Linked DNA regions of Schizosaccharomyces pombe. The gene in region 4 interacts genetically with the main gene of each other region. Each region holds a gene or a part of one and is shown on either strand. Other genes may lie near its edges.

Region 1 (8,029 bases), on a different chromosome or scaffold from region 4:
CATGAGCTTTTGGTCATTGAGGCTTTCGCTGACCTCATCAATTCTGTTCCTGTTGAAGAAATTGCCGAAGAGTTTTCTCGCTTTTTAGACACTCTTGGTATTGAATACTATGGTAACATTCCTGTACATATTCAAGAAAATGCCCCAAAGGATTCATCAATTCCCCCCCTATTTGAATTCGACGATGATTTGGAGTTGAGTGATCTCACTCCTGAACAATTTGCCTACCTTGAAATGCTCAAGGCTGAAGGTATTGATCCTATGACTGCTTTCCGTGACCAGAGTCATCCTGCTAAGCCATCTAATGCTCAACCTGCTGATTCTTCACGTCCCTACGCTGTTTTTTCACAAGAAGAGAATGGTGAACATGTAAATTTAAAGGCTTTCCCTGATCACACTCTTCGCGTTAAAGATTCCAAACCTGAATCACTTGGTATTGACACTGTTAAGCAATACACCGGTTACTTAGATGTCGAAGATGACAGACATCTTTTCTTCTGGTTCTTTGAATCTAGAAATGATCCCGAGAATGATCCCGTCGTGTTGTGGTTGAACGGTGGTCCTGGTTGCTCTTCCCTTACTGGTTTGTTCATGGAATTAGGTCCTTCTTCAATCAACATTGAGACTCTTAAACCCGAATATAACCCTCACAGTTGGAACTCCAATGCTTCAGTTATCTTTTTGGATCAACCTATCAACACGGGTTTCAGCAACGGAGATGACTCGGTTCTTGACACTGTTACGGCTGGTAAGGATGTTTATGCATTCTTGAACCTTTTCTTTGCCAAGTTCCCTCAGTACGCTCATTTGGACTTTCACATTGCTGGTGAATCCTATGCTGGCCATTACATCCCCCAGTTTGCCAAGGAAATTATGGAGCATAACCAAGGTGCTAACTTCTTTGTTGCCAGCGGCTATGAAATGGAGAAGCAATACATCAATTTGAAGAGTGTCTTGATTGGAAATGGTTTGACTGATCCTTTGGTCCAATACTACTTTTACGGAAAAATGGCTTGCGAGAGCCCTTACGGTCCTATTATGTCCCAAGAGGAATGTGATCGCATTACTGGTGCCTATGATACCTGCGCTAAGCTAATCACTGGCTGTTACCAGACTGGCTTTACTCCTGTTTGCATTGGTGCCTCTTTGTATTGCAATAACGCTATGATTGGACCATTTACTAAGACTGGACTCAACATTTATGATATTCGTGAAGAATGCCGTGACCAAGAGCACTTATGCTACCCCGAAACCGGTGCAATTGAGAGTTACTTGAACCAAGAATTTGTTCAAGAAGCTTTGGGAGTTGAATACGATTACAAGGGATGCAATACTGAAGTAAACATTGGTTTCCTTTTCAAGGGTGACTGGATGCGTAAGACTTTCCGTGACGATGTCACCGCAATCTTAGAAGCTGGCCTACCCGTTCTTATCTATGCCGGTGATGCTGACTACATTTGCAATTACATGGGCAATGAAGCTTGGACCGACGCACTTGAGTGGGCTGGTCAACGTGAGTTTTATGAGGCCGAATTGAAGCCTTGGAGTCCTAATGGAAAGGAAGCTGGTCGTGGTAAGTCTTTCAAAAACTTTGGTTATCTTCGCCTCTACGAAGCTGGACACATGGTTCCTTTCAACCAACCCGAAGCTAGTTTAGAAATGTTGAACAGCTGGATAGATGGTTCTCTTTTTGCTTAAAGTGTCATCAGTTGGACATTTTACATCTACTGAATAGTTGATATGAACCGAATATGACTGACTATTGGCTAATATACAGTAGCCATAATTAATCTTTGCGTTTTATTAATTAAATTGATTTTAATATTTGAAAGATATAATGATGAATTACATAAATATTTGTTTTTGTAGTAGTAGTAAGTAACGCTGTTGGAAAACTTTTCACTGTAAGTATTTCTTCAATTCTCGCGGTTTGTGTCGTAATAGTAACAACATAGTTATAATTCCCGACCAATATTACTACGCCGATAATTACTGCATACAAAAATTTTTGGTTTAAGATGTAAACAGTCGATTGTAATTGAAATAGATTGTCCATAACTAAGTGCTTCGTAATAAAAATTATCTTGATCACATAAAAGTATTACTCATCCATGTGCTTCATAAATGTACGCTTGTGATGTTGAACACCTAAGGTACCAAGTTCGTCAATGTCAGCCTTGTCTAGAGTGAAAGAATCAAAATTCAAGCACTCCTTCATACGCTCAATTTTTGAGGTAGTAGTGATAGGTATAACGCCTTTAGAATAGGCCCACTTGAGAAGAATTTGAGTATCAGAAACATGGTACTTGCTCTCCAATGATTTAGTGAATTCAGCAACAGGACCTTGCGCATCACGAACCAAGGGAGAAAGAGGGCCATAACCCTCAACGATAATTCCTTTACTCTGGCAAAATTCTACAAGAGGCTTCGCGGCCTTGTATACTTGAGGGTGAAATTCGATTTGGTTGACACGAGGAGTAATAGTTGAAGTTTTCAACAGCTCCTCTAAGTCGGGAATACGAAAGTTAGAAACACCAACTGAGTGGACAAGACCGGTTCCCAAAGCCGTTTCCATTGCTTTCCAACCTTCAGAAATGGGTATTTTCTTTTCATAGAAAGGAATAGGACTATGCAAAAGGTACAGGTCCAAATAGTCAGTACCAAGCTTACGTAAAGATTCGTTGAGGGCTTCAGGAATGTTATCGACATTATGCATAACCTTGGAAGTAATAAAGAGTTTGCTTCTTGGAACATTAGCTTCCTTCAAAGCCACCCCAACTTCCTCTTCGTTGCCATATACTTCCGCGCAGTCGATATGAATGAAACCAGCAGCAAGTGCATTCTTTACCGAATCTACAATGGTTCGATTGATTTCTCCCTTTTCTTTCTTAAACAAAGCTGTACCAACCCCATAAGCAGGGACGGGAATCTTAGGGCCCATAGCAGCGATAAGCATGTTGAAAATGTTAAGAGTACGAAAGAACTTGAAAGTAGAAAAAGAGTAAGCTACAAAGAGGCGCTACTTTAAAAGTTGCAGGATAAAAATTGTTAAATAGAAATGAATGGAATAAACGTTAAACCGAGATTTTTGCAAGCAAAAGAAAAGAGAATCGCAGCAAGAATTAATAAATTTCTTCTTTAAAAATGCTCTGTTTAGGTGAAAAGAGTGCGAGAAAGGGCCGTATATCGCTATTTATATAGATTTCCAAAAACTTAGTCAGATGACATCAGCCAAGTCTGGCTTGGCATACAGAATATCTGACTGACGTTGTGCAGCATCTAAGAGAGGAGTCTTTGGAACTTTAAAATGAAGAATTATCTGATCAGATAAGGAACAAACGTGTAACCAAAAGCAGATTTGTTCCAACTAAACAGTGTAAGTTGAATAGAAAACAGTTTTACAGGCAAGAATAAGTTGAACGTTAGATTCGGTATTTAATTGATTTAGCAATATTCAATTCTTGAATGAATCCCTCTGTTTTAGCTGCGAGGATTATCTTCACCACCAGATGAGTTGGCGGTTTTTACAGCATATTCTTACCTATAATGTTAATAAATGTAAGGTAGTTACCATTAAGCTGTAGCGTTATAATAGCAATGCTTTAATCATAAACAATGCTTACTCAGTTTTGCTAGATCATTTTTTACTATAGTCTTTATCGGCAAGAAATTGAGGAAACTCCTTCAAGGCATGATGATCGTAATCATTTAAGAAGTCTTTGACATGTATTATGCATCTAAATGTCAGAGGTTGAGAAAAAAACAAATAAACAAATCTGAAAGTGTCAGGAAAATGACTTGGCAATAATTCAAGCTTATTCATGTTAACCAACGTCAATAGTAATGGTTAATAACTCGACGTCCGCTTAACAAACACTAGGGTAAATTTACCTGCAACTTGTAATTGAGGAATTCTAAACGCATTCCCCACAAGCTAGTTTCTGTTAACAAATATTTTTATAGATTTTGTCTAAAATCTATTTTCTGGTTAAATAATCAGTAAATTGCTACACTTTTATTCACAAGAAAACAAATTTTTAAAATAAAAATTTATTAGTGAAATCCTATATGATGATTTAAGTTACCCTAATACTCAAAAAAGGAAGGTTGTCCGAGTGGTTATGGAGCTAGTTTAAGGCACTAGTGCGAAAGCTCGTGGGTTCGAGTCCCACACCTTTCATTACGATCTTTTTAATAAATTTTTTTACATTTTATAAACAAATGTAAAATGACCCTTAAATATAGTTAAAACATATATATTGTGGATATCTCTATTCATCTTCTTCCTAAATTTTTCGTCTCGGCGTTGCATATTTGGTCAACAAAAACTATTCAGCGCTCTTATGATATGGAGATGCTTCTACAAGAAAATCATTTCGCACTACAAACAGATGGGGTGGTAAAAACAATTAAAAATTCGAATTATATTTAAAAGACAGATAAAAGGAAAAATAAAATAGCAACCTTAGACTCAAATTATATAGCCGATAGTCAAGATAATATTATTAAGTTCGACTTAACAAGGTAAAGTTTGAAAACTTGTTCAAAAGAAACCAGAAAATAGTATTAATAGAAAAGAAGAAAGACAAGACAATTTCAATGTGGGATACAAGATGCTTTAGCGAGTGGATCAATCAAATTAAATCAAATTTGATGTTTCTGCAATTCAAATATAATACACAGCTTTAAGGCACTATAATAAGGCCTAGTTAAAGTCAGAGAGAAAATGGGGGAAAATTGCTTAGTGATTTCAAGGGTAAAGAGAGGAGAAAAAATTTGGAAAGCAATTAAAAAAGAAAAGAAAAATACAACAAGATTTATATAGCACACAAAATTATTGATAGTTAAAAAGGACCAAAGAAACTTTTAACACCTTGAAAGCAATTTAGCAGCTAAATGATTCAAACGCAATCACAATCTACTTAGCCTTAGTGCTGATCTTTCCCTGTTCGTTGAAAAGAGGTCCCTCAGTTCCAAAAACACGGTCCCAAAACCAGCTGGTGATACCATAGGCAGACTTGTAATCCTTGTAGTGATGGTCCAAATGCCAGGTCTTCAAATCAGTCAAGTAAGCATTGGGCATACGACGGTGATGTAAGAAATAGTGGGTAAGATCGTAGAAAACGTAACCAAGAATGGCACCAGAGAAACCAGCAACACCAATGTAGTGAGGAAGAACAAGTTGAATAAAGTGATACCAGGGAGTGGCAAAGATAAGGAACAAAGCAGGAGGCATTACAAGACGGTACTTGTCAGCAGGTAAGAAGTGGTGGCAACCGTGGAATGCGAAGTGCATAGTCAAGAAAATAGGATGATCAGGGGTGTACTCATCCAAGTGGAAGAGGAAACGATGCATAGTATATTCAACCAAAGTCCAGGTGAATAATCCAATGATGAAGAAGGTGATAGCAACAGAGAAGGGAATTCCGGTACAGGCGTACAAGAATCCATAAGTGACACAGGGAACCCAAATCAATGGAATCATATACCAAGGGGTCTTGGTAAGAGGCTCCAAAAAGTTTCCAAACAAAGGAGCAGAACCGCTGCCACGGTAATGACGGGGACGGTGAACTTGGTCCAAATAAACATCCTTCTTGATGTTACCAAACAAAATTTGGGGCAATAAAGGCTTCTTGAGGTCAAGGAAATGGTTCTTCTCGAAATCCTTGTCAAGATCGGTAGGCTTGACAATGAATTCATTGCCATAACCGACACCAATGTTCTGGTCGACAAGATCACTGAATTCCTTATTCTTCAAAGGAACCTTAGCACTTTTCAAGATCTCAACAACAGCTTCAGAGTGCTTGGACTTGGAGGTAGCATTAAGGATATCAGCAACCTCTTGGCGGTGATAGCGACGAAGCAAGTCAGCAGCGTCCTTGTTGGCAACCAAGTAGTTGGTGACTAATGGAATGTTAGTATAAAGAACGATACATGTATTTTGGTGTAACTAAGGCAAAGGGGGAAAGGTGAAAAAAAGTTAAAAGCACAACGAACAAAGAAAAAAGATAAGAAATGGCACATCTCCCACAATGGATCTTTTGCCAATAAGCCTTTGCTATATGCGTTTTCATTGTTTTTTATACATTGCCTCTCAAACACTCTGTTGCCGAGAAAAAATTTTAGTCCTTCAACCAAATCTCCTTCTCAAAACCCAAACACCCTGCCATTTCTCCTTGTTTAAATACTTACCATCGTATTCAGTGCCGTCAGAAAGGATAACACACTTTTCACTAGTAACAGAGGCCATTTTGGAGATGGGAGTATGAATTGTTAATTCGTGATAAAACTGTAGCAAGCGTGTTTCTGATGAGTTTGATAAACAAATACAGTAAATATTACAACGTAGCAACTGATCCTATGATTCTTTACTTGGATTTTTGTCCAATTGATCAAAATGTCAGTTCTTTGTTTGTGTTGCGTTAATGGCACGATGTTGTGGCGTGGATGCAGTAGCCTATATATGTCGCAGGAAAGGGCAAAAAGGCATTGCGGGGCGAACCAAAAAATCGTGCTATTTTTGATCGACTTTTCCGAAAAATGGTAAGACAACGGAAAACAATATTTACCGTATCGCAAAACGGGTTCCGAAACTGAACACCAGAAAATTGCACTCAAGGGCCTATACACAGGGAAAGAACAGACGAGTGAAGTGCTTTACAGATACAATTCATTGATTTATTCATAGTAGACTAAAAATTATTATTTGCGAAAAAATACTTGAAAAGAGAAAACCTTAAGTTGATCGAAATTTATTAACTTTTCGTGATTTACTTTTCGTTGGTTTGGTTAGGTATAATTTTGTTTTCCTTCCTTTCCGTTTCTTTGCTTCTTATTGTCGGTAATTGTTTTTAGCTTGGAATTTCCTTATTCCGCTATTCCTCGCTTTCTTTTTTGTTTGTACTAAAATTTCTCTCATCTTTTATCGCTTAGGCAGTAGAATATTCCACTTTTTTTTCCACCGAAAGAAAGAGGACAAAATAGCTCAAAAGAGTACTCATTATTAATATTTTTTAACAAAACAATTCGTGTTAGAAGCGACGAAAGCTACTAGACTGACAAAACTCCATTTTTACTAGCTTACTTAGTTTTCCAGTCGAAGTCTGTTCCGATCCTGTCAGAGTTTGTTGTATTGAAAACGAAAATAAACGAACGTATTTTCCACGCATAGATAAACAGATCTAATCTAAATGCAGCTGGACGCGGAAGCCTTGGCTGAGGCTCCTTTTCGTAAGCAAGAAGTGGTACGTTTACAATTTTTTTCCTTCCTTCCCGCCTTTTCCCTTTGTTTTTTTGTCTTCCCGTGTTTATTGTTTTTACTAACCCTTTTCCTAGCCGCAAAATCAAGAAAATCAGCAAAAGGCATCTTCTTCTTTTCATGAATCCTCACTCACCTCTTCCACTCATAGTCATCCCTCTAACCCTCCTCCACCGCCTACACGGTTGCATGATCGCTCTTTCAAACCCGTGTCTAAAAATTACGAAAGTGAAGGTCGTCTAACTCCTCCTCCCGTTTCAATGGGTTATCGGTACGCCAGATCTTCCAAACAATCTTTTCAACGAGAGGATAGCGGTTATAACGATGATGTAGTTACAAATTCCTCAAGTCATCGCACCCCAAGACACCATAGGAGATCATATAGTCCAAGGTCCGATTATGGTAGTCGCTCTCCCTCTCCTCACTCTTCTGTAGATTCTCATCAAAGTAGATCACCCGTTCGTTCTCGCGATCGCGATCGCAGTTCAAGGTCAAGTCGAAGCCGCCATCCCTCAAGTCGTAGTCGCCATCGATACGATGATTATTCACGCAGCCCTCCTTACTCTTCGCGGCATAGTCGTAGTCGTCGCCGCTATGAAGAACGCTCCTCTCGTTCTTCTAGAGCCCATGATTATGATTATGAGGACTTGAGGGATGATGACCGTTCACATGAGCGTAAGAGAAGTCGTTCCCGTCCTCGTGAACGCTCCTCTAAACTTTCAGAGGAAGAGCGTGATCGCCGTACTGTGTTCGTTTCTCAACTCGCAAATC
Region 2 (9,255 bases), 2.6 Mb from region 4:
GTTCTCACTAATTCATATATATCCCTAACCATCTAATTAGCACATATGATAAACAACAAATGCGTACGACTCTAGCTGTAACTTGGAAACTTCAAGCATGTGTTCATTCAACCAGTCCATGGTTTCAGATACAAGGAAGAAGAATTCTTTCATTTTTCCATTAGTGAGTTGTTGGGAGTATTCCAACTCCTTATTAAACCATAGTTCTGACCCATTAGAGCCCATCCTGTTTGGTTACATATAAAGAATGAGCTAGTTGCTGGAGAGTGGTCGGTGGTGGAAGCAATCAAATGTCAACAATATACAACAGTAGTTGTATACCTAAGCTTCCAACTAAATTTATAAACAATTATGCTTTCCCAATTTACAAATGATCAAAAGGTTTATTGTTTTCAAGATTTAAATGTAAATATCAAGTTCCGATGTTATAAACAATTGTTAGGAATATAGACATCGGTTAACGACGAAGAGGTTTTTAACGAAGTAACACTTTAAGCCATACATTTTTTCGAGATGCCGATGCTGATTTTATTGCAGTAATTATTGAGTGGAATAAGCAACCCAATGCATGCAACCTATCGTTCGTTTGATCAGCAGACAGAGTTAACTAGTTTGTGTTCAAATATCTTTCACCATTTGTTTATGTTTAGTATATAGCAAGCGGCACAGACATAAAAGTTTCTATTGAACGGCTACAAGCAATTTGTCATGCTTTATACGCTTGTCATTTATTGGATTTTTTTAATGATTCGATCTACAATATTCACGCATTTTCTCCATTTTTTGTTCACATACTTGCCATAGCTTTTAAAAATAATTTTTCCAATCAGACAGAGATAAATGCCAAATATCATACACTTGTCTTTAAGTTTTCAAGAATGTATTAAAACATGGGTAACCATTCTCAAAAAATTAAAAGCTTATTCAATACAAAATTCACCGTTCTCTTTTCATTTTGAGCTATTTTAACTCAATTAGACTTTTCATTCCTTACTCTGTTTTAGAGGACAATGTAAAGAGAATAGGGTAATAAATATGCTTTTATAATTGACAGTCTGTTATTATTCTTTTTAGCAATTTAAATATTTTTCTGAATTCCTAAAATTTCTTTAATTAATTAAATAAATAATATATACTTTTTTGTCTGACAGATCAAAAAAGGAAGGGTGTCCGAGTGGTTATGGAGCTAGTTTAAGGCACTAGTGCGAAAGCTCGTGGGTTCGAGTCCCACCCCTTTCAGTAATTTTTTATTGCATTTTATAGCAAAACAGGGGAGTGTGAATTTGGCAAGCTGTTAGTTTCTATAGGGAATTTATAACTGCGAACTAAGTTTTCTTACTTGCAATGGCTATATATGGGAGGCCGAATTGCTTGAAAAACATAGCTTTGCATTTGAAACAATTCGCAAAAGTTGGCACTAAGGAAGAAGTTAAGATAAAAAAAATTCAGTTACTTTGGTTTTATGATTTGCAATTAAATTACAGTGATCGCAGAAAGATAGCAGCATTACGAAGACATGTTCAACTGCTACATAACACTTGCTATTGTTAAAGTTTTCGAAATAGTTACTGCCCGTTACATGTAAAGAACAGATAAAAAATAAATTAGAATTACTGTCTTCTCAAATGCTTAAATATTACTACTATGAAATTGTTATATAAACAAAATGTAGCGTTGCAAAGTATTACAGTAAACTTCGTTGTGCTGCATTATTAGTATTGTCCGGGACTTACTGATTCCACGACCTGTAACTAAATTGCTATAATCTCAGACTGTTAGCTTGGGATTGCCTGGAAATTGACAGGATGAGTGTGAGGAAGAATTCTCCTGCAAGCCCAAAGCCAACTTCCCGTTCTAGGGAGAGTTCCAGGTCTCCGTCAGTGACTGATTTGAAAGGTAAATGGAAATTCAAAGCAAAACTTGACTGACCACCATTTTTAATAGACCATTCCAAAGCTAAACGAACATTATGTAGAAATATCTTACTTTATGGATCCTGTAAGCATTCAGAAAATGGATGTGCTTTTCGACATGATGGTGTAAGTATAGGCGTATTCTCTTAACTTCAGAGAAGCTTCTTGCTTACGATTGTTTGTAGCCTTTCATCCCTTCTTCAGAGAATTTGGAGCAATACTCAGTGTATGATTTTTTTTAAGGCTTTGTACGTATAATTAACCTCGCTAGTAAGAAAAAACTGAATGCTGCGTCGGCCTCTTTTCAACCTGTTCGCGCTTTACCAGTAAAGGCTGCTGGCGCTGCAGTATTTGTTCCTAAATCACAAGAAAAATCTCTTTTTCTATCTAGAGAGCGTACCCCTGTTGCGCTTTCACCAGGTAGTCATGTATGTCTGGCTAACAGCTTATATTTTTCTTACTAATTTTACTGTAATTTTAGGCTATTAATCCTTACAATAATGCATCTATGTTGGTCAATGAGCCTTTTCATGATGACTCTGGGGTTTATTATACTCGTCAAAACCAGTTTAAACCCGTAAGTCTAAAGCCTTATTATTGTTGTTGACAACAACAGACATTGTACAATTTATATAATCCGCAACCTTCTCCCATGCCAACTTTACTTCCTTATGAAAGAACTGTAAACGGTCTATTTATTGATGATACGACTAGAGAAAGAATCGAGAGAAAGAGCGAGGCATCCCGTCAGACAATTTCAGGTACTTAATTTGTGTCTAGCTTCCTTTATACTAATATTTTAGCGCTTCCGTCTATTATATCTTCATATACTTCTTTGGCGCCACTGAATACAAAGCTTTATCGGTATAAAGAGCAAATTGGATTCTCTTCTTGGACGTACAAATGCACTTCTTCCATCGATGGGAATGCTTACGTTTTGAAACGACTCCAAGGTAACCTTCAGATTCATAAATTGCAATTGCTAATATATTTAAAAGACTGTTCAATTAATATTGATACGTCGACTGTCGACAAGCTTAAAAATGTTTTTCATCCAAATATCGTACCATTCCATTCTGCTTTTCATACTGATACATTTCATGATTCTTGTAAGTTTATTTTACTAAACCTTACTAATTAATCAAGCGTTACTATTAATTTATGATTTTTATCCGTGTACTACAACCCTTGGTGAGCTCTACCTAAACAATTCTAAAAATTCTGTCAAGTTGGAGGAAAATAGAAAAATTCCAGAACGAGAGTTATGGAATTATTTTTTCCAGCTTACTATCGCTTTGTCATATCTACATAAATCCGGGTTTGCTTGCAACAAGCTTACTCCGTCGAGAATCCTTGTGGATCAAACTGAAAGGTATTTTTTTTTGAACATTTTTTATGTTTTGATGGAATACATTTCTTTAATTCATTAATGACTTATACTAACGTGTAAAGGATTCGTATTAGTGGTTGCGCTGACTATGAATTGGTAGTGTCAAACAAGCCTCCATTAGAGGAACGAAAGAAGCAGGATTTTGTAGATCTTGGAGTTGTGATTGCGAATTTAGCTACTGGAAGAACTGATATGGACATGTCTTCAGCCGCACGAGCAATTTATAGTACATATTCGAGGGAATTTTATAAAGCGGTTTTATACTTTGTATCGGAAGTTCCTGAGGATAAAAACTTGGAGTTGTTTTTGCAAAATCACATAGAAAGTTTTTTCCCTATAATGAGTTCACCATACGTGGAATGCGAAAAAATGGAGAGAAAAATTTCGGACGCTTTCCAACACGGTCGATTTTTTAATATTTTGTGCAAGATTATGTTTATTATTGATAATAATAGAGCTTCTCGTGAATATCCTATCGCACGAGAAAAAGAAATTTCATTAATCTACTTATTACGAGATTATCTTTTCCATCAGATAGATGAAGATGAGTGTCCTGTGATAGATTTATATCAAGTGCTGAATCGCCTGGGAAAGGTAAGTTTTTTACATTTTTCTCATTATTGCATTTATTAATTCATTAGCTTGATGCCGGTATAAATCAAGCCATCGCATTAATTTCCCGAGATGAACTTGATTGTGTTTCAGTTTCTTATGGGGAGGTAAGTATTTGCTCAAAAAGCCATAGTGGGTGCTTAGTAAATTAGACTACTTTTCCACACTATATAGCCTGTTTGTTTGCAAAATTACTAACAATAACAAATGTAGCTAAAAGCTTGGTTGGACAACGTTTACGAAATGGAAATAAATTCTTAAAATAAAACATTTTTCTTTACAGAATATTTATTTGTTTTTTTGTATCTATTACCATGGTTGTTAATTTAAGTAAATAATAGTTTTCGCTATAATAATATTAGAAGGAAGCTAAGCTTAATGTGGTTTTGAATTACCTACTGCAACACACCGTATTGAAACAAAAACGATCAGGAATAGAAGCCTGACACTTATCAGATAAAATTCATTAATACGTTTTCCTGGTTTAATTATTAATTACGGAAACTCCCATGCTTGTTAAGGTACATACAGACGGTTAATCATAAACTTCTTAGAGGAGAGAGTTTAGCAGTTGTCCTCAAAAAATGGCAAACCCTTTCGTTCGAAATCAATCTTTTAAATCAGTATTTTTTAAAAATTTAGTCGGAATTACCCTATGGGTACCCGTATTAATGTTCGTTGAACAACATGTAGTCAGCGTCGGTACAATTGAAGGTAGATCTATGAAACCAGCCTTTAACCCTGAGACAAACATGCTGCAGAGAGATAGGGTACTACTTTGGAAATGGAATAAGGATTACAAAAGAGGAGATGTAGTTATACTACGGTAAGTTCTTGGATCGTTGCAGGGTCTTTCGGTACTGAGTTTCCCTTTTTATCGTTACTAATAAGCAACAAGCTCTCCAGAAAACCCAGAGGAACTATTGGTAAAAAGAGTTCTAGGAGTAGAATACGATATCATGAAAACGAGACCTCCTAAAAAGTTGTCATTAGTACCCGTTCCCGAGGGACATGTGTGGGTCGAAGGCGATGAACAATTTCATTCTATGTAGGTTTCCAACAATTGTTTTTTTACTTTTTCGTTTTCTTCTATAGAGATATTAACTAGTTTACAGTGATAGTAACAAATTTGGCCCAGTATCGACAGGACTCATCACTGCCAAAGTGATTGCAATTTTGTTTCCCTTCTCTCGTGCAGGGCGTATTGATCATGAAGGTTTCCGAAAGAATGCAGTGTTTTTAAGTGGAAAACGTTCTGTTAAGTAAGCTGCACCACAGTGAACCTGTTTCCTTGACAGTTTAGTTCCATGCTGGTTGGTGCTTATTTACATTTCTTTTAAGGAACACGTTATCCTTAAATTTAATTTATTTCGACGCGTCGCGTTCTATATATGACGTCATTAATATGTCTATCTATTTACCTATTTGAAAAAGATGGAAGTTGGAAGCTACTTTGTATTAGAAATACCAATAAAAAAATATAATTTTTTCATACTCAACATCAAAACTTTTATTTAGGGAAAATTAGAATTGACTGAAAAATCCGTCTCTTTTGCATATCCCGAAACAGTAAAGTCGTTGAGTATAGCAAAGTTGGAAATTTTTCAACAGGGTATTTGAAATGAGAAAGAATTCCATTTCTAAGTAGCCTTTAAATAAAACCCCCAGAAGAAACGAACATTGAAGTAGTCCTTTGTTTTCCTTAGGAAGCCTCATATATCGTTACTTCGAATACGGTCTAACGCCGTACCAAATGTATACAGCTGCGTGAACCTTCCCAGAGCGAATTTGTGTATAACACGAAATCCGAAAAAATTACTTCTATTTATTTGAAAAAGAAAGGAATTCACAATCTCTTAAACAAACCAAGTGGTGAGGAGCTCGAGTCTTCTTTCATGGTCAGTTCAGCACCCTTATTTTCGAGAAAAACGTGCTGCCCTTTATAAAAAATTCGATATTTTTTCGGCATTTTTTATTTTAATATACTATAATGGCTTCAGCCAATTTTATTCGCCAGTTTGAGCTGGGGAACGATTCTTTTTCATACCAAAAACGCCCAGAGGATGAGCCATCACAACCCCTTTCAAACAGAAATATAAACAAACTAAACGATTCATCTACTTTAAAAGACTCTAGTTCAAGGATTTTTATTAACTCCCAAGTTTTACGTGATGGCCGACCCGTAGAATTGTATGCTGTCGAATGTTCAGGCATGAAATATATGGAGCTTAGCTGTGGGGATAATGTTGCTCTTCGAAGATGTCCAGATTCTTACTTTAATATCTCTCAAATACTTCGACTTGCTGGTACTTCGTCATCTGAAAACGCCAAAGAATTGGATGATATTATCGAGAGTGGGGACTATGAGAATGTTGACTCCAAACACCCTCAAATAGATGGAGTATGGGTTCCATATGATCGAGCAATTTCTATAGCAAAGCGATATGGGGTTTATGAAATTTTACAACCATTAATTTCTTTTAATCTTGATTTATTCCCCAAATTTTCAAAGCAGCAACAAATCGAAAGTTCTTCAATCTCCAAAAATTTAAATACTTCTTCTTTTAATACGCGATCCCCTTTGAGGAATCATAATTTTTCAAACCCTAGCAAGTCTTCAAAGAATGGGGTGCACACTATAAACAATATGCAGAGTTCACCTTCACCTTCTTCCTCTTTCTTACTACCTTTAACTCAAATTGATAGCCAAAATGTTAAACGCTCTAACAATTACCTCTCCACCTCTCCACCTATCCTTGAACAGCGTTTAAAACGGCATAGAATTGATGTCAGTGATGAAGACTTACATCCCTCCTCACAGTTAAATGATAATGAGGCCTCTTCATTGTTTCCAGATACGCCAAGGTTGAACCATTCACTTTCTTTTGTATCCTTGGTTTCTAGTCTTCCTCCACTTGATCAGAATATTATGCAGGATTATCATACATCAAAAGACATTTTGACCTCTATCTTTTTAGATGTAAACTTTGCTGATTCCAGCGCCTTAGAAGCAAAGCTGTCGGACTCATTAGATTTGGATGTCCCCATTGACGAACTTGGACACGCCGCTCTGCACTGGGCAGCAGCCGTTGCCAAAATGCCTTTGTTACAAGCCTTAATACATAAAGGAGCTAATCCTTTACGTGGCAACCTCACAGGAGAAACGGCATTAATGAGATCGGTTTTGGTAACCAATCATCTCAATCAGAACTCTTTTGGTGATTTACTAGACTTGCTTTACGCATCTCTTCCCTGTACAGATCGAGCTGGACGGACCGTCGTTCATCACATTTGTCTTACTGCAGGTATAAAAGGCCGAGGTTCAGCATCGAGATATTACTTAGAAACCTTATTAAATTGGGCAAAGAAACATGCAAGTGGTAACAACGGATATATGCTGAAAGACTTCATAAACTATTTAAATCATCAAGATAAAAATGGGGATACAGCTTTAAATATCGCAGCAAGAATTGGAAATAAGAACATTGTTGAAGTTTTAATGCAAGCCGGAGCTTCCGCTTATATTCCTAATCGTGCAGGGTTAAGCGTAGCAAATTTTGGAATTTTTGTTGAAAACGCATTAAAACAACCCGAAGACTCAAAACAAACAAAAGTTTCCCTTATGAGTGAAAATCTGTCCAGCAAAGAAAAGACTGCTGTCCCTCCTCGTCAAAAGAGTAGAGACATTATCGCCTCTGTGACCGATGTAATATCTTCTCTGGATAAAGATTTTCAGGATGAAATGGCTGCAAAACAGTCTATGATTGACTCAGCCTACACCCAATTGCGTGAATCTACAAAAAAGCTGTCCGATCTTCGTGAACAACTACACGTGTCCGAGACGCAAAGAACTTTGTTTCTTGAATTAAGGCAACGTTGTAAAAATCTTATGACTTCGATCGAAGAACAGAAAAGTGAATTAAGTAATCTTTATGAATCTTTTGATCCCAATGGAATACACGATTCATTATCATTGGATGCTGACGCTCCTTTTACTGTCAATGAAAACAACAACAAAAATTTATCTATTGCTGAATTGAAGTTTCAAGTTGCTGCTTATGAGAGAAATGAAGCCAGATTAAACGAATTAGCGAACAAACTTTGGCAACGAAATTCCAACATAAAATCAAAGTGCCGTCGGGTTGTTTCCCTATGCACCGGTGTCGATGAATCTCGAGTGGATTCATTATTGGAAAGTTTGTTACAAGCCGTGGAAAGTGACGGTCAACAGGGAGAAGTAGATATGGGTCGAGTTGCTGGATTCTTACGTGTTGTTAAAGAACATCAAGCATAATATTGCTTTTTGTGGTTTACCACTAAAGTGTCCTGAAATAATTAACTACTTTAATTTTTTTCTTAATATAGAATCCTACCAAATGAATAAAACGTAATTTATTATATGTTAATAATCTTGGCTATTGGAAATTAGTTAAATTTTCATTAAGCTTTTCGAAATATGTTTTTTGCTCTATAGCTAAATTTCCCGATACGCCGCTAAGAACAGTCGAAATGAGGGTATAATTATTGGACAAAAACCTACTTTGTCTCCTTTTGTCATTAACTGTTTTACACAGGTTTTGTAACATGCTCACATAATCCTGAGCTAGTCTTGAAGCACTTCGTGCAACAGGCTCGGCTTCTACGACATTAACACTTAGCATCGAAAGGCTATAAAGTAGTTCAGCTACTCGCTGCGAAAGTGGATGAGGTCGCGAAGTGATTTCTTCTGGCTTCACAGATAAGTTAGTTTTACGGAGTGACTCACAGTGCATGTCCATGACAGCTTGAAAGCGAGGCCACAGAAAAAGAATCATGGAGTTATAGTGTGGCTCAATAACAGGCACTATATTAGTTTGCGCCTGTAAAGCTAATTTTTGAGTAAAACGAATGGACTTCAAAATACCTATGCAATCGATACTGCTTGATATCAATCCTGTAATGTATTTGCGTGAAAAATGTAAAGTTTTTTCAAAGATAGCGGCAAAAACGGTAGCCTGCTGATCTTTAGAGAGGTTAAAGTACTCCAGCAAAAAAGCATATTCAGAAGAGACGTGTTCCGTCAAGACTAATTCCCATGAGCAATAAACACGTTCAATATATTGTGGGGAAGATTCAATATGATGCATTGTAGATGCTGTCAACACAGAGTTCATATCAAAATCCTGAGGGCGCAAGTTTACTGAGAGCATTTGATTCCCGTAAGATTGTTGTGCTCCTTTGGAAAGGTTGAAGAGTCCTTTCCGATCCTCTTCAACGCGAATAGTTTCTCCCTTAAGGACATGAACTTTGTCCAAAAACCTAGAGTACTGTTCGAAGTGGTATAGATAAAACCAATTCATC
Region 3 (7,142 bases), on a different chromosome or scaffold from region 4:
TGAATTAATTTCGTTCCACTCAACCCTTTTACCATAGCATCATTCGCAAAGACGTGAATGGAAAAAATAATATTAGACGTCTACAAATTGGCAAAAGGACATTGCAGGTCATCAATTATTGAAGAAGGTAAATCGAGTTTTCATCGATTAATGTACTATCATTTATAACAAAAAACTCACAAAGTAACAGTAATATAACTCGTAAACTGGTAAATTGTCAATCGATTGGTTCAGGGAATTAGCGTCTATAAAGTATGAATACAAATGAAAGAAGAATATTTTTGGTAACTTTGAAAAGAGTAAAAATTTGCGTATTATTTAGCTGTCATGCTCCAAAATCTGTAGGTCGATCTTCAACTGAGGAAGTGATCTCCGATTTCCGTGTATCAAAGTGTCAGAAGACTGCTCCTCGCTAGGAATTAATTCAATCGTTTGATTAAAGGGAATTTTCTGCTCGTTACAACGACGTTTTAATAGTTCAACTAGACTTACTAGTTTTACAGTAGCATCTCCTTCAGCCACAAAAGAAACTTGTTTTTCTTTGACAAAAGAATCCCACAACTTTAAAGAAAGTTGCTTAGCATTTATACTTTTCTCTATTATCATAGTTTATAAGCAAAAGCCTGCATGGCGTTTAGTAGGCTAATAACGTGGTAGTTAGACAGGTGCTCCCAAACATTAATTAATAAATTACATAGTTGAAACAACATTTTACTGCCTTGTAAAAAGATGTATGATTTTAATCTTAAAGCAAAGGTATATGATATAACAAATTTAAAATCTTTTTCGCTATTTTTATTGTAAGTACCTCAGTTTCTTGCTAGTCTTAGAGAGTTCAAGCAAAGTAAAGCTCGATCAAGCTAATACTGACACGATTCAACGTCCTTTGTAACCTTTGGAAAAAGGACGAACACGAATCGTATACACACCAAAATGCTTATAAAATACGAACATGTTACAGAGCGCTCACAAATGTCTGAATTTTAAGAAACGTAACTATCGTAGATTGCATATAATAGGAATAAGTAGAAAAGAAGAGTAGATAGTAAAGTTAGTAAATTGCAAAGTTAAAGGCAATTTGCATCTAAGGCAAAAACTGGTACCAGGGGATAAAAAGAGGGAATGAAACAAAGAGGTCTTTGAAGATGATCATGATTGGAACAGTTTCGATAATATGGTAATTAAATGGAGATCCACATAATGCTCAATACTACGTCAATAGCCTCACCGCTCTCTTTGATAGTAGTCATTCCATCCTTTTCACAATTCCAGCAAGCAGCGTGAGCTGCGTGAACGCCTCTAGAAGGATGATCTTCGGGAAGCTTTTGTACAAGAGTGGAACTAACAATCCATTTGTAAGACTGGGTTTCCTTATTCAAAGCATTTAATACGGCATACTAAATGAGACATAAAGTTAGCTACCATACATAGATATTTGTAAAATAAAATGAACTTACAATAACAGATTGATTCATTTCAGCTGTTTTGTCTCCGTCATATTCGGAAGCCTTCAAAACCGGCTGAGCAGCTTCTAGGCAAATTTCTTCAAGTTTTTTGGAATCTATAGGCTATTTTCATAATCAAATTAGTAAACGAATCGCGTATTTGACGACTTACACAGCTCATTTCGAAATGGGGTATTTTGATGAGTACAAGGAGGGTACGCAGTGAGATAAAGACACCCACAGCTAGTACGACGTTTAACGGTGACAACCCCATCGATACAAAGTTCAACGCGAACATAACTCACGTTAACATTTCTTTTTATTGTTGATTTCTTTTTGCTTTAAACCTGAAGTTAAGTAAGGATTTTTCGCTTACAGCGAATCGTCAACTTCACGTTGGGATGAATGAGATAATTCAAATAAAGCATCAAGTATTGCTTTAAAGGAAAACAGCGTTTATTTCTATTTCTTACATTCTTTAATTAATACCAATTTGAAAACAGTTGATGGTTGAAACATCGATAATTGATTTCGAAAGAAATGCATAATGATTTTGGAAACCATGTCTTCCTCTAACCGTAATAATTGTATCGAAAAAACTCATAATTACACATAATTACTGGTGTTTGGATTACCAAAAGACATTAATGTGTGCTTTACGCTTTTAACAATACTCTTAGCAAGTCCAGTTTCAGTAATGAATTGAGTGTGTTTCTTTGAAGACGGGCCGAAGGAAAAAACAACAATTTAAATTCTCTGAACTTAAAGTGTATAGAATCTGTTTTTAGTTATCGAAATGTTAATTCAGCATGAAGGGAAAGCGATTGTTTTGCTGTTCATAGAATCCAAGTATCAATGTAGCGAAATCATCCAAATCTTTAACTATTTGATCATTGAATAAAACTACAAGATAATTTATGTTTAGTATTCCTACCATTAGTTCTTTCAATAATTTTACAAAAATGGAGAAGATCTCATCGGTACTGCGATACATAAAGATGCTACTACCCAAAGATTTTAAATCAATGATCCTTTCAATCCCCTAACCCTTTTATCCTTTTCCTTTTTTTTCTTTCCTATAGATTATTTACTGACTTTTATTTACAGGGACATTCTGTGATATAACGGTATTATAACTTGTTTAATTGTTATATAAATGTAAACGTTATTGCCGAAAACCATGTATAAAGTGCGTTATTCTAAAACTGTATATAGAATATAATAACATACTGCGCGAAATTTAATTGTGAGATCGAACAATTCAGTAACTGAGTATTTGGAGTAATAGTGAATTTTTGCGAAGGAAAATACTCGATTACCATGTAAACAAGGGTTTGATGTATGTTAAAAAGTTGTTAATTAGAAATGGATAATAGCCACTCTATTATAATTTGTTCTAAAAAAGTTGGGTATTCTTTAACGACCCGTTGGAACCGATCATTGAAGAAACTTCAATAGTGGATGAGACATTTTATGAATTTTTAAATTAGTCAAATACGGTTCAAATTTTAGAAAACATACGTGGAAGTTGCATCCTGTCTAGAATAAAAAATTCATTTCCTTATGTATCGGAACGTTGACAATCTTGTTGACCAAAAGAATATACTATCGAACCCAAATCTTAAAAGTCTTTTAAGCCCATTATACCTTGTGTAAAAAAAAATAAAAATAAAAATAAAAGAAGAAATAGTAGAGAATATGCACAGTTTTGATCCTCTTTAAAACTTTAGAGGGATGAAGCAATGCATACTTACTTAGTAAAATATGGATATAATAAGCTAGCTAAACTTGACCCATTATTTGAGTAATTATATTCACTATTCAACATAGTTTCCTAAATTCATTATTACTTTAAATTAATGAACTAACTAATTTATTAAAGATGAAAACAAATGGTTAAAATTGAGTAAAATCAATCATTATATTTTTTGTTAGTCTCTATTATCAACCTCTTTATTAGTAATACATTCCGAGATATAAAATTCCAGAAACGGAAATTATTTGTTTTAAACGTATAATTACAAAACCGAAATCGCCTTATATGGTGTAGGAGATAAATCTAGTAAATTTCGTACCTTCTTCTACAAACATTTGGCGTGAACATGCTTCAAGCAAGGATTGAGGAAAAGCAAAAGGAATACGAACTAATATGCAAACTAAGAGATTCTTCTAATGATATGGTTCAACAAATAGAAACGCTTGCTGCTAAATTGGAAACTTTAACAGATGGAAGTGAAGGTATGTTCATTACGAGGAAAGTATATAAAAGAGCCTTGTCACCAATCTGTTTAAGTGCTATTCATGTGAACAAGTATAAATATCATTACATTGAGAAAAGCAAAGAAACAAGTGAATTGATTGGATCTGCAGGATTGCAAATAAAAGCAATCATTTGCCGACATGTCTCTAAATGAACTTCTACCTCTCAATAATTCACCTAAACGTAAAAAATATAATCTGTTTATTTATTTATTTTTTCTATTTTCACTACTACTCATACATGCTTGACGACTCTTTTTAATCCATTATAATAAATGTTTGACACTCAAATCACTAACAAAATCAGCTGTTGCTACTGTTCTCAATAATTGGCCCAGCATTTTTGAGTCAATACAGATAGCATCCCAACATTCAGGAGCTTTAGTCCGAATTCCTCCTTCTACTTCAAATACCAACGCATCTGCTACGGAGCAAGGCGATGTTGAAGAGGTATAAAGACTTAAATACTCTTTTTAATTTCTCACTGAAGTAGAAAAGGCCAAGAATTGGTTAAAATAAATATTATTGTTCTGTCCATTTATTCATATTGTTTCTTCTATTTCAGAATTGGTAAAGCCGACAGCAAACCCAAGTTCCAAGTATCTTCACTTCCTAATGAAATGGAGAATGAGATCACCTTGTAAACTAAATGATATCTAAATTTTTCATTTGGTCATTTTCTTTTGGCGTTCGTCCTGTTTCGCTTGTTTGAATACTCCCAGCATTCCCTTACGACAATTAATTTCTTCAAGGACAAACAATTTATTCAGGAGTGATACTATTGTTATGTAATCAACAAATATCGTGGTCCGATGCCCGATTTTTTAAAAAAAAGTTAAACTTATTTATCTTAACCTTCGCCAACCTCTCGCCATCTGCCACTTACCTTTTTAAAAATATTTCTTAGGAAATCTTGTTGATCTTCCGCTAGAACTTTTTTAAATAACCAATAAAAGGCGCTTTTGCTGGTCCATTAGTTCCATTTGTCACAAATCTGCTTTTTTTACGCAGTTTTACATCTTTAGGAAAAATCAAATAAATTTTGTCAGTTAGTATTTAATATGCCTGTTGATATCAGTTCTCTTTTGCATGCTGGGTATTCAAACCCGTTGCTTCGTGAATGGCAAGGTGTACGTCCCATTACCAAGTCATCTCTAATGTATCCTATCTTCATTTCCGAAATAGATGATGCTAAGGAAGCCATTGATAGCATGCCTAATCAATTTAGATGGGGTGTTAATAGATTGGAAGAGTTTTTGGGTCCTCTCGTCAAAAAAGGTCTTCGTAGTGTAATTCTGTTTGGTGTCATCGAGTCCAAAAAGGACTATTGTGGTAGCATGGCCGATTCCGAAAATGGACCAGTTATTAAAGCCGTTAAAGAAATTCGTCACCTTTTTCCGGAGCTGGTTGTTGCTTGTGATGTTTGTCTCTGCGAGTATACTGATCACGGCCACTGTGGTCTGTTATATGAAGATGGCACTATCAATAATGCTAAATCCGTTGAGAGAATTGCTGAAGTTAGTGGAAATTATGCCTTGGCAGGCGCTCAAATAATTTCTCCTAGTGACTGCATGGACGGTCGTGTTAAGGCGATTAAGCAGAAACTTGTAGAGTTGGAACTGTCTCATAAAGTATGCGTTATTTCCTATTCTGCAAAGTTCGCTTCTGGTTTTTTTGGTCCTTTCAGAGCTGCTGCTAATGGTGCCCCAAAATTTGGTGATCGCAGCTGTTATCAACTTCCCTGTAATGCACGTGGCTTGGCCAAAAGAGCAATTCTTCGCGATGTTAGAGAGGGTGCTGATGGTATTATGGTAAAACCGGGAACACCTTATCTCGATATTTTGGCAATGGCTTCTAAGCTAGCAGATGACCTTCCTATTGCTACTTATCAAGTTTCAGGCGAATTCGCCATTATTCATGCTGCTGCTGCCGCTGGCGTATTTGAATTAAAAAGACATGTGATGGAAACCATGGATGGCTTTATGCGTGCTGGCGCTAACATAGTTTTGACTTACTTTACTCCTGAATTATTGGAATGGCTAGAATATTAAACAAAAAATAATGCGAAATCAATCATCTTCAAAATTATCATGATTGAAAAATTATTTTGTTTATATTCTTTAATGGTCTAGAGTTTCACTTATGAAATTGTTTTTCGAATCTGCGATTACCGGTTCTTGTTTATTAAAAATTTTCGTTTATAATCTGTAGCAGTTATTTACGAAAGAAATTGTTTTTCTTTCTTTTAAAATACTTTAAATTCGTGTGTAGAACAAGATTTTATCTTAGACAACCGTAGGTTGCCAAATTATCGTGATATCCTATTGACTCCTTTTGCAAGCGATGAACGGACATGTTAAAAATTTAATATTTAATTTATATAATTTGATAGATTTGTCTCAATACTTCATGGCAGTTAGAATAAAGTAAAGTACATTATCCACGTTTACTGACTATAACTTTCTAGCATGATAAGATAAATTAAATATTCACTATACTTCACCCAAAGTAATTGGAGCATGTTCTTCTCAAACATCTTTTACCTTATGAGTCAACATTTGGTAGCTCAGTGAAGCTTCTGACTATTTATGTATATATCGATATAACTTACAATGAAAAAGTATGACAGCTGCAAATGATTCAAAAGTAAAATGCAACGACAAGGAACATGCTTCTACGCTCTTCAATTGCATATGATGCATAATGCATTGGAGTAATAATATGAATCTATGTATATAAGGTAGGACAACAATTAGTACTAATTAGAATCAAAATCTTCATCCTCAACACGTTCAAAAATTTCAAAATCAAAAAGAATGCCAACAAACACAGAATCTCATCTAGTGAGCATTTTTTTTTTGAACAACAGTAAGCAATGTAATTTAAGCAGCCGGGATTAACGTCACATTACGATTCCGGAAGAATTAATTTAAAGAAGGAATCGTATGGACGTATTATGTTGCAAATTGTAAGCGGATATTTAATAATGGGAAAAAAATAAAAAAAGTATCGACATAACAGTGAAAGACAAGAAGGAAAGACGTTGAATAATCATGACTATTCTTGTTTCGATATGCAGCAAGACAGTAAGCGAAGATGGAACTTCTTTCGTGATTTCTCTTTCGAGGGCGCAGGCTTAGCAGCTTGTTGAGTGTCTACCTGTGTAGGCTGGGTAGTCTGAGGAGCAGGTTGCTCCACCCGTTGCGGTTGCTGCTGTTGAGCGGAAGAAGTTTGCTGTTGTTGTTGAACTTGGGGAGAAGCCGCTTTCCCTGGTATACCATCTTTCTGCGTCGCAACACTGGCATCAACCACGTTATTGACTGGAGTTTGCTTACTTGGGCTAGAGAGCAAATTCTGGCGAGTACGAGCATATGGAGGAATAGTTGACTGCCGCCTGTTATTAGTACCCTGAGTATGTCGACGTTGGACGACATGTTG
Region 4 (4,179 bases):
CTTAGGTCATGATGTAAAATTACTTCGTCTTTGCCTCCACTTGTGAGGGTATTATCGTTCCATGCTAATGCTGCCACCCTTTCGGAGTGACCTTTTAAAGATCTGACTGATTTCGTAGACTCGATATCCCAGATGTAAATTACTCCTGAATCTGTCCCTACAGCTAATTGAGTTCCTTTACCTGTCCATAAGACGCTTGTGACATGATTTGTTGCTCCGAAATCATGTAATTGAACCACTTTACCACTTGCTGCTGACCAGAGATAAATGCTGCTTGCTAGTCCGACTGCCAAGACATTAGATTGGCCCCAGTCAAGCAAGTTTAAATAAAAGTCATTTTTTAAGTAAGGTGCATCCAAGATTTTATATGGAGTTTTTGGAAAAGCTCTTTTGGGCTTTTGTGGTTGCCGCAACATATCTTGAGATTGCGGTGAAATAGGAGATAGAGAATATGATTTTCTATCAGGTGTATCCAACATTTTCTTCTCAATTTTCCTTTTGTCTTCTCCATAATAGAAGGCTCTAGAGCGAGATGCTTGTGAACCGAAGAGCTCCATGCTTAGTAGCTCCATGAATTGCCTTTGAACTGCTGTCGTTAGTAATGGGAATATAAAACTAAAAAAGGTACATACTAGTGCCAGAGGTTTTGCGCCTAAGATTTGATCCATGGCTTAACACACATTCTTTGAATGACTGGAAACTAAAGTTGAACTCATTGCTAACGTTGCGAATGGGAATGAATCGGTCTCCCATTGTCAACCAATTCTTTATAAGTTGAAGTTAGTCGGGATGGAAGGGAAATGTTGAGATTCCTATTTCGTGAATAAATACCTTCCATGCTTTATTTGTTTTTACTGAGTGCTTTTTTCTGCCCGTCTGCAAGACATTGCTACAGAATTATGAAACCAGGTGGCTTGAAAAAATGCTAATTATGAGCTATAATGACTGCAGTAAACAAACATTTGCTAAATACTCTGTATAACTGCTAAAAATAAAGCTATCCTGTGATCGCCGTATTACCTAATGCTACCGTTTAAACTAAACAAATGCACTCATCAAAACAAACTGTTGATAAAAAATATCTCAATAACAATATTATAGTCATCAACCAGCAAAAGGTGATGTTATGGTAAGAGAACTCCTAAAATATGATGTTCATAGAAAAACAACAACAATGATCAGTTGACCACGATGTGCCAAACCCATTGTTTTCTGAATGTTTATTATGATCATCAGATCCCGGTCTTGTAAACTTATTGCCAAGAACCCAATTTCTTCAAAATGTTCAATTAATTAAACATTTATTTTAGTTGTTTTGTAACAGAGTAAATAGTGCTATAGATTCGTTCAAAAAAATTCCAACTACTATCGAATGCAAATACTTTTTACCATGTATGTGAGTACAAAAAAAATTTTCTCCTCATTCTCATTTCAATTGATTTATTCCTAACTATTTCTGTATTTCTTTTGGGATATTCATTTTTAAAGACAAATCTTCGTATGCTACTAATTTTTCCAATTAAATACTATTGGTATATTTCTGCATTTCTTGTTTATTTGATTAATAGTACAATTTCATATTTTAGGACGATAATAAATATGAGTTTTTTTGTACTAAGTGGTAAGCAAAAACAACATTTTTTGTATATCATTAATGTTTTCGTTGTACTACTTAGCATTGCCTATAAGGAAATGCAGCGTGTCGATATATCCCTTAATAACAAACCATCTTTATTTCAGATTTACACTCCTCAGTTTGTGTCCCACCCTTCCTAAATCGCTGTGCTAGCAAACTGCGAATTAAAGCTCACGAAGCGTTTTGTACGATATTAGCGATTGATAAGTTGAAGTGATTACTCAATTATAGTACTTCAAAAATATAATCTTTATGGATACCTCCGTATTAAATCCGGAACTTCAGATTCATGGATTTATTGGCGTGGATTCTTTGCAATCATCAAGGAAACGAAAGAATGATTTTGATGATTTTCCACTTAACAAAGGATTGAAAACAAATAACAATGACTATTCTGGATCAATAGAGCCTAAGTTTTCTCCCGCGTTAAGCATTAAAGAAGATGGTAAAAATGATCGCAATTTCGAGGCCTTAATGTCTCTTCAAGCCCAAGACTCCAACCTTTCTGAACAAAATACATCCATTCATTTGGATGCTTTAGCCTCCTCTTCTATAGCTTTAGGAAATGATAATGTGGATTCGAGCGCCTTCTTGTCAAAAGTTAACAAAGGTGTGAATGCCATGAGAAACTCTACTTCGAATCAAACAAATGATTCTATTTTAATAAGCCCTTCGGAAATTACCAATATGGATCCATTTTTGAAAGGTAGTGCTAGATGGACTGCGGAACATTGGGACTATTTAGAACGACGAATGCAAAACTTCTGTCAAACCTATTCATTAGACCATACACAGGTAGCCGATTCTCTACACGAAAAAAGACTTCACGGGCCACTCTCTTCTTTAGTTAAATTATTGGTTCAAGAAATGCCTAGTTTTACCAGAAGAACAATATTACGGCACCTCCGGGCCCTTTACAACATCCCAGGTTATGAGAAATATAGTAGAAAAAATTCTTCTGGAAGAGGGGATTTCGGGGTCCAGGAAACTGCCATTATTTCCCAAGAAGTACATAATTTTATTATGGATCAAGGATGGTCCGAGTATCAATTTTGCAATCAAATTTGGGCAGGAAAATGTCCAAAAACAATCAGAATGTTTTACTCTAATTTATATAAAAAGCTTTCCCATCGTGATGCCAAGAGTATTTATCACCATGTACGACGTGCATATAACCCGTTTGAAGATCGCTGTGTGTGGAGCAAAGAAGAAGATGAAGAATTAAGAAAGTATGTGTTTATATTTTTATTCAAAAATCATTAACGTTTAGAAATGTTGTTGAACATGGTAAATGCTGGACGAAAATTGGTCGTAAAATGGCTCGAATGCCTAATGATTGTCGTGATCGTTGGCGCGACGTAGTACGTTTTGGCGATAAATTGAAACGAAATGCTTGGTCGTTGGAAGAGGAAACTCAGTTATTGCAAATAGTTGCTGAACTCCGTAACCGTGAAGACTTAAGTTCTGACATTAATTGGACGCTTGTTGCCCAAATGTTAGGTACTAGGACTCGTTTACAGTGTCGTTATAAATTTCAGCAATTGACGAAGGCTGCTTCAAAATTTGAACTTCAAGAAAACGTTTGGCTCTTAGAAAGGTAAGTATTGACCTACATAATTTCTCTTGCTTGCTAATATTTTAATTTAAGGATTTACGACTCGTTATTGAACAATGGTGGTAAAATTCATTGGGAAAATATCGTAAAAGAAGCTAATGGACGATGGACACGCGATCAGATGTTGTTTCAATTTATAAATTTGAAAAAAATGATACCAAGTTACGACAATCTTCCTCTTCTAGAAGCCACGAAGTCAGCCATTGATGACTTTAAAGTGGTACTTTCTGGATTCTCCAATTGACGTCCTTACAATTTTTTGAACGAAAAAATTTGTTTTAACTTACTTAAGTAACTTTGTATCTTTTTACAAGTCCTTATTAAAATGACTTAATTCTTAACGCAACACCTTCATACTGAGGATATGTAAAGTCGCCTTACTACTACCGCTCTTTGCATTTCTAGTTATTGGCGAATAGTTTTTGGAAGAATTCATAATTTCCTTAGCAATAGAGGATTTTTTGTAAATTAATAATTAAAATTGAATTGTTTGCTAATTCCGTATGAATAAATTCCAACTACCAAAAACTTTAAAGTCTTTATGGCATCACCCACATAATGGAGAGTTAATAAGCATAAACGGCTGGGTACGATCTATCCGAAAACTAAAAAATGTTTGTTTTGCCATGGTTTCTGATGGTACATGTCAACAAGCCCTTCAAGTGGTGACTTCGCCTGAACAGAGTAAGAAGTATGGTTGAGGAGGAGACATAAAATCTAAATTATATGATATCTTTTTCCTACTAACATTAATTTATTATCAAGGCTATCATATGGTGCTAGTGTGAATATTGAAGGCCAGTTGGCAGTTTCTAAAAACGCAAAACTTGGATTGCAGCAGTATGAACTGTTGGCTGAGAAAATAAAAATTTACGGCCAGATAAATGATGATGTATGTGCTTTCAAAATTGAATATACTGCAAGTCTA

Evidence for each region.
Region 1: mutations in reb1 (region 4) and scs7 together harm fitness less than expected from each alone (positive genetic interaction), as found in Schizosaccharomyces pombe (2 studies listed by BioGRID).
Region 2: mutations in reb1 (region 4) and cdc10 are lethal when combined (synthetic lethality), as found in Schizosaccharomyces pombe (2 studies listed by BioGRID, with this or other methods).
Region 3: mutations in reb1 (region 4) and dad2 together harm fitness more than expected from each alone (negative genetic interaction), as found in Schizosaccharomyces pombe (2 studies listed by BioGRID).

What each region holds. Positions count from the first base shown.
Region 1 is NC_003424.3:4,055,179-4,063,207, reverse strand, and holds scs7 (ER sphingosine hydroxylase Scs7), read right to left. Parts: upstream 6,433-8,029; 5' UTR 6,251-6,432; coding exon 6,193-6,250; intron 6,173-6,192; exon of another isoform or gene 5,905-6,172; coding exon 4,919-5,904; 3' UTR 4,393-4,918; downstream 1-4,392. Other genes in the region: cpy1 (vacuolar carboxypeptidase Y), read left to right, coding at 1-1,698; SPOM_SPAC19G12.09 (NADH/NADPH-dependent indole-3-acetaldehyde reductase AKR3C2), read right to left, coding at 2,102-2,956; RNA-binding protein Rsd1, read left to right, coding at 7,191-7,244, 7,336-8,029. UniProt on the Schizosaccharomyces pombe protein: Ceramide hydroxylase involved in the hydroxylation of sphingolipid-associated very long chain fatty acids. Postulated to hydroxylate the very long chain fatty acid of dihydroceramides and phytoceramides at C-2.
Region 2 is NC_003423.3:2,760,241-2,769,495, reverse strand, and holds cdc10 (DNA-binding transcription factor, MBF transcription factor complex subunit Cdc10), read left to right. Parts: upstream 1-5,695; 5' UTR 5,696-5,905; coding exon 5,906-8,209; 3' UTR 8,210-8,330; downstream 8,331-9,255. Other genes in the region: INCENP-like protein Pic1, read right to left, coding at 1-24, 68-225; PAN complex subunit Ppk26, read left to right, coding at 1,806-1,896, 1,945-2,039, 2,099-2,139, 2,185-2,341, 2,395-2,490, 2,530-2,674, 2,717-2,866, 2,912-3,022 and 4 more; mmp2 (endopeptidase catalytic subunit), read left to right, coding at 4,500-4,741, 4,814-4,963, 5,031-5,181; GARP complex subunit Vps52, read right to left, coding at 8,331-9,255. UniProt on the Schizosaccharomyces pombe protein: Major component of the cell cycle transcription factor complex MBF (MCB binding factor, also known as DSC1), that controls G1-S phase specific gene expression. Involved in the control of rRNA production, via interaction with pol5.
Region 3 is NC_003424.3:2,782,554-2,789,695, reverse strand, and holds dad2 (DASH complex subunit Dad2), read left to right. Parts: upstream 1-3,403; 5' UTR 3,404-3,547; coding exon 3,548-3,683; exon of another isoform or gene 3,684-3,714; intron 3,715-4,011; coding exon 4,012-4,160; 3' UTR 4,161-4,537; downstream 4,538-7,142. Other genes in the region: protein Pop6, read right to left, coding at 319-606; dynein light chain Dlc1, read right to left, coding at 1,182-1,397, 1,458-1,568, 1,618-1,626; porphobilinogen synthase Hem2, read left to right, coding at 4,766-5,755; serine/threonine protein kinase (CK1 family) Cki3, read right to left, coding at 6,762-7,142. UniProt on the Schizosaccharomyces pombe protein: Component of the DASH complex that connects microtubules with kinetochores and couples microtubule depolymerisation to chromosome movement; it is involved in retrieving kinetochores to the spindle poles before their re-orientation on the spindle in early mitosis and allows microtubule depolymerization to pull chromosomes apart and resist detachment during anaphase.
Region 4 is NC_003423.3:191,252-195,430, reverse strand, and holds reb1 (RNA polymerase I transcription termination factor/ RNA polymerase II transcription factor Reb1), read left to right. Parts: upstream 1-1,821; 5' UTR 1,822-1,888; coding exon 1,889-2,865; exon of another isoform or gene 2,866-2,906; coding exon 2,907-3,233; intron 3,234-3,284; coding exon 3,285-3,495; 3' UTR 3,496-3,679; downstream 3,680-4,179. Other genes in the region: ubiquitin ligase Mfr1, read right to left, coding at 1-586, 633-753; asparagine--tRNA (Asn) ligase Slm5, read left to right, coding at 3,755-3,942, 4,017-4,143.